Linked DNA regions of Kluyveromyces lactis. The protein of the gene in region 1 purifies or fractionates together with the protein of each later gene. This does not show direct contact. Links are inferred from orthologs where the notes say so. Each region holds a gene or a part of one and is shown on either strand. Other genes may lie near its edges.

Region 1 (3,088 bases):
CCAGTGGCCTTTTGAAATGCATCTCTGATTTCATTCCATTCGGATCTACTGTTAGTCACTTCAGCAATATCATAATTGAAGATCTTGTCCGTAACGCCGAATTTCTTCCATATGGAATTGGAATATACACAATCAGGACACCATCCCGCACTCAATTGAACAAACTTGTGAGAAGAAACTACTTCACGGGCGATAGCAATATACTTAGACATCCTCTGTAAATTGACTAGTTCTTTCCTGATGATATGAGAATTACTTTACCGAGAATAAGCTACATTCTGTTCACATTTGGGGGATGACCCTCATCTTATATAACAGAAAGGTTGAAATCTTCAAGTTTCTTTTGAAAATCTGACCTTTAAATATTCATTAAGACCATCCACAGTTTTTCCGTGCTGAAACTCCGCCATTCCCACAGAAAAGACACCGTTGATGCCACTAAGAATTGAAATACGGTAGTATGTCTCTAACGCGTGCGAACAGTTGCATCTAGTAAAGGGTATAACATGATGTAGTTTCGTTCCCTGTATGTGGCATTTTACTCTGTTTGGGGTATTATACAGATTTGTTGTTACCCTGATTATGATCTTTATCAACGAGCATCGATTCTCAGTTTTCCAATTTGAAAAAGCTGTAAGCATCAAGCTACATACTCACATTAGGTAAGTTAATGCGATCTTTTATGGGTAAGAACCAGTTCATACGTTGTGATTAGAGCTGGAATCAAAGCCTCAATATATATAAGAACATATCATCGAAAAGAGTGGGGAAATGTCAACGGACAGAGCTTGTATGTTATGTGGACTGGTGCAATCGACTGCTGAATTCAATAGGAATGGGTGCCCGAACTGTCAATCGATCTTTGAAGAGGCAGGTGTTTCGGCTGTTGAATGTACTTCCCCATCTTTTGAAGGTTTGGTTGGTATGTGTAAACCTAGCAGGTCGTGGGTAGCGAGATGGATGAGTATTGACAGTTATATTCCAGGAATGTACGCTGTCAAAATTGATGGTCGTTTACCAATAGAGGTAACGGAACTTTTGCCTCACTATAAACCGAGAGATGGAAGTCAAGTTGATTAATTTTAAGCACTTGTTAAGCACTTGTCTGTTTTAGTTTTTTTATGTTGAAATCGTCATGGGGCCGTTTTGGTGCCCCCATTTATTAATTTCCTCTTGCATCCTATAAGGTGGCTCCCTTATTACATGTATATTTATCCTTCGAAATATATCAAATGTTCTGTACTATATCTATTAAACCAAAAAAAAAGTTGAATTGAAAAGCGCAATCGCTGTATCAATCTATCTATATCTATGTTACCGAATATCTAAAGGATCTGGCGTAAAATTGGTGGTTGTACCCCATGTCCACTATGATTTTTGATCATTTCAACATTTTTTGTCATTTCAAAGATCATCCATTAAACTACAATTTTCTATCAAATGCAGTACATCTTTGCTCGCCTTGAAAGGTGAAGTAAAGAGTCCAGATTGAGATTGGATCGGTATCTTGGGGGTTTTACATCAACTATGTTACTTCGAAGATTACCTGCCGTACATTTTGCGAAGGGTTCGAGACAATTTGGATCATTGCAAGCTATTGCTGATAGTTTTGTACAGTTACACGATGCCTCTGGAGTACCATGGTTAGTACTCATACCAACTGCCACTTTTGCATTGAGAACGGTGTTCACTTTACCACTAAGTATATGGCAAAGGAAACGTATAGTGAAGCAGCAAGAGCTTCGGAAAGTTGTGCAAAGTGTTCCCCCTGTGGTGAAGCTAAGATTGGCTTCGATGACTGCGAAGGCTAATGACGAAGAATTGACAAGTTCTGGTAGTGCAATACAAACTAAAGAGGAAACGGTCGGAGCGCTTCAAAGAGGAAAAAGGCAGTTAACGCCAGATCAAATAACGATGTTATCGTTGAAAGAAATGCGTAAGAGACAAAAAGTTTTATTCAAAAAATACAACGTACAGATGTGGAAGAATAGTGTTCTACCGTTAGTTCAAGTCCCTCTATGGGTGACTATGTCAATGGGGCTTAGGAAGCTTACTGATAGTAGGTTAGTGGACACAAATATGCCTCACGCACATGTATTACAAGATCTTTCAGAGACAAGTTGGTTAACTCATATAGGTTCTTTAGACCTAAGTTTGCCCTTGGACGCAGCACCAATGCTAATACCCATCATTTTAGGAACCGTTTCGATGATCAATGTTGAGTATAACGGTAAGACGATGCAAGCAACTGCAGTAGGAACTTCTGGCATTACCACTGCTACTGACACACAATCGAGAACGTCACAGACGGTAAACAGTATCCTCACAGCGACTAGACTAAGCACAATTTTTCTAATTGGGGTCTCCACGCAGGCTTCGGTCTTACTTTCACTATATTGGATCACATCTCAGGTTTATTCGTTGATTCAGAACAGAATTCTCGATTTGCTATGGCCATATCAGAGATAATGGAGCTTCTATCTTTTAACACATATAAGTTAATTTAATCGTTTATAAAACTTTCACTGTACATAGTTAATATTTCTGTTTAGCAAACAGTGGTCTTTGTTCGAAGCTTCACAGCAAGATGGGTCCTTATTTCTTCTTGCCCTCTAGCTTCTTTTCTTGCTTTGCCAACTCCTTACGGGTACCCTTCAATAGCTCGAGATGACCAACACGACTTGATATTAGTCTTTCAGTGGATTCTGTAATAGAGTATGTCTTGTTCAATTTTTTCAAATGCTGAAGAGATTGTTTCTTTGATTTGATCTGTAGTGGAGCTGCTTTCTTTAAGTTCTTTTGTTTCTTAGTAACCCTGCGTGGGTCCTTAGCCTTCTTTGTCACTTTCAAAGCTTTTTGCGGCATATTCAAATACTCGACTGGTGTGGGATCAAATTACTGGTACTGATGTAGCCTCTAAATGCTGTCACCTTACAAACTTATGTCTGAGATGATGAGATGAGATGAGATGAGATGTTAGTTATAAGATGAATCTGATATTAGATTTCTTTTTCTAAATATTACGGAAGAATGAGAGAATAGAGTAAGACAGAAGAGAGGGGACGTTTTGCCGGTACAATCTCGCTAT
Region 2 (2,685 bases), on another chromosome or scaffold:
ATATTATGTTTAATAAATATAATAATATTATTAAATCAATTAATAATAATAATAATAATAACCCCGCGGACTCCTCTCCTGGTAATCCCAGGGGAGGAGCCGCGGGGAAATTATATAATATTATTTATGAAAATAATAATATTAATACTATCCCTAATAATATTTTAATGTTTAAATATTTAGTAGGATGATCAATTCAATTAAAAGGTAGATTATCTAATAATAAATCTATTTCTAGATCTAATACAATGAATATTTTAAATGGTACATTCCAAAACTATAAATATATTTGAGGTAATCAAATGGTTAATAATTATAAATTAAATTATATCCCTGTTAACCATAATATTACTAATATTTCTGATGTTAATAAAAATGGTAAATATAATATTAAAGTTAAATTAAATACTATTTAATTTATTAATTAATAATAATAAATAAATAATCAATATTCTTCCCCCACGCGGCATTACCCTAGGGTAATGCCGCGTGGGGCTTCTTTCTTTATATTATAATTATATAATTATATAATATATAATAAATTAATATATACATATAATCCCCCCTTCATATTATATGAAGGGGGGGGTAAAAATATAAATATTTTATAATATATAATAAATTAATATATATCTTTCCCGCGTTCTCCTTACTATTTCCTTAAGGACCTCTAAATACTAATAAAAATTAATTTTATATTATTAATTTTATATATAAATAAATATATAATATACATTTTCCCGCGGGGTATAATACTTATTATTAGTATTAATAATTTATTTATTTATTTATTTATTTATTTATTAATTTATTTATAATACTTTTCCCGCGGACTTATTCCCTGGAATTCCAGGGAATAAGCCGCGGGGTGTATAAATAATTTTATATACTCTTCTCCCGGGGACTCCTTCCCATAAGGTGTATACCTGGGAAGAGTCCCCGGAGTTAATATAATTAATAAACCCCACCCCCTTTAAGGGGGGTGGGGAGGAATACGCAATTGGGGGAATTTATAATAATTATTATATAATATTATTATATAGATATAAGTAAGTATAATATTATTATAATAATAATAATAGAGATTAGCTTAATTGGCAGAGCATTCGTTTTACACGCGAAGGACATGAGTTCAAATCTCGTATCTCTAATATATATTAAATATATCAATTAAAATATAAAAATTTAATAATAATATATCAATATACTTATTTAATATTATTATAATTATTTATAATAATTTATTATTAATAAGTTTTTTTCCTAATTGCGAACTCATCAAAACATTAGTTGGATGAGTTCGCGGGAGAATAATATATTAATCAATGTAATATCTAATATATAGAATATATATAGATTAAAAAAAATTATAAATATGTTTTATTTATTAAATTCAATTATTATGAATGATGTACCTACACCTTATGGTATGTATTTCCAAGATTCAGCTACACCTAATCAAGAAGGTATTTTAGAATTACATGATAATATTATGTTCTATTTATTTATTATTTTAGGATTAGTATCATGATTATTATTTACAATTGTAAGAACTTATAGTAAAAATCCTATTGCTTATAAATATATTAAACATGGTCAAACTATTGAAATTATTTGAACAATTTTCCCTGCTGTAATTTTATTAATTATTGCTTTCCCTTCATTCATTTTATTATATTTATGTGATGAAGTTATTTCTCCAGCAATGACTATTAAAGCTATTGGTTTACAATGATATTGAAAATATGAATACTCAGATTTCATTAATGATAATGGTGAAACAGTAGAATTTGAATCATATGTTATTCCTGAAGATTTATTAGAAGATGGTCAATTAAGATTATTAGATACTGATACTTCAGTAGTAGTACCTGTTGATACACATATTAGATTTGTTGTTACAGCAGCTGATGTTATTCATGATTTTGCTGTACCTAGTTTAGGTATTAAAATTGATGCAGCTCCTGGTAGATTAAATCAAGTATCAGCTTTAATTCAAAGAGAAGGTGTATTCTATGGACAATGTTCAGAAATTTGTGGACAATCACATTCAGCTATGCCTATTAAAATTGAAGCAGTTTCATTACCAGCATTCTTAGAATGATTAAATGAACAATAATTATATAATTTATAATTAATAAATTATATATAATAATATTCTTTCCCTGCAAACCCTACAATATTATTAGGGGTTTCCCCACGGTCACCTTCCCGACCCACAAGGAGACGGGGATTCTTACTTATTTTATATCCCGCGGATTCATGTTATGAATCCGCGGAATTATTATATTATATTATATTATATTATATTATATTTTTAAATATAATAATAATTATATATAAATAAGAGTATAAAAATAATTTATTGATCTCATGCTATACTCCCCCCCCTTCCTGTCGCACACGATTGGTGCGCAGATATTGAAGGGGGGGAGTAGGGAGTAATAAATTTAGGATAACCATTATTATAATAATTAATTATTATAATAATATTTTTCCCCCGCGGTCTCTCACCCTACGAATGTAGGGTGATGAGCCGCGGGGTAATTCTTATTTATTATATATTATAATATTAATAATAAACCCCCGCGGACTCCTTTAAAGGAGTCCGCGGGAAAAGTATTATCCGCGCCTCATCCATTATAAAGGATGAGGCGCGGATTAATATACATATATATATTTTAA

What was found. Proteins that work in one complex are often made in the same cells at the same time.
Region 2: the proteins of COX18 (region 1) and COX2 purify together in Saccharomyces cerevisiae (affinity purification with western blotting; 3 studies listed by BioGRID, with this or other methods). This does not show direct contact. The link is inferred for Kluyveromyces lactis from reciprocal best matches to the Saccharomyces cerevisiae genes COX18 and COX2.

Annotation. Positions count from the first base shown.
Region 1 is NC_006038.1:705,785-708,872, forward strand, and holds COX18 (membrane insertase COX18), read left to right. Parts: upstream 1-1,527; coding exon 1,528-2,469; downstream 2,470-3,088. Other genes in the region: glutathione-disulfide reductase GRX8, read right to left, coding at 1-212; transcription elongation factor SPT4, read left to right, coding at 772-1,080; KLLA0_B08041g (uncharacterized protein), read right to left, coding at 2,596-2,865. UniProt on the Saccharomyces cerevisiae protein: Required for the insertion of integral membrane proteins into the mitochondrial inner membrane. Essential for the activity and assembly of cytochrome c oxidase.
Region 2 is NC_006077.1:34,370-37,054, reverse strand, and holds COX2 (cytochrome c oxidase subunit 2), read left to right. Parts: upstream 1-1,348; coding exon 1,349-2,119; downstream 2,120-2,685. Other genes in the region: VAR1 (ribosomal small subunit protein), read left to right, coding at 1-416. UniProt on the Saccharomyces cerevisiae protein: Component of the cytochrome c oxidase, the last enzyme in the mitochondrial electron transport chain which drives oxidative phosphorylation.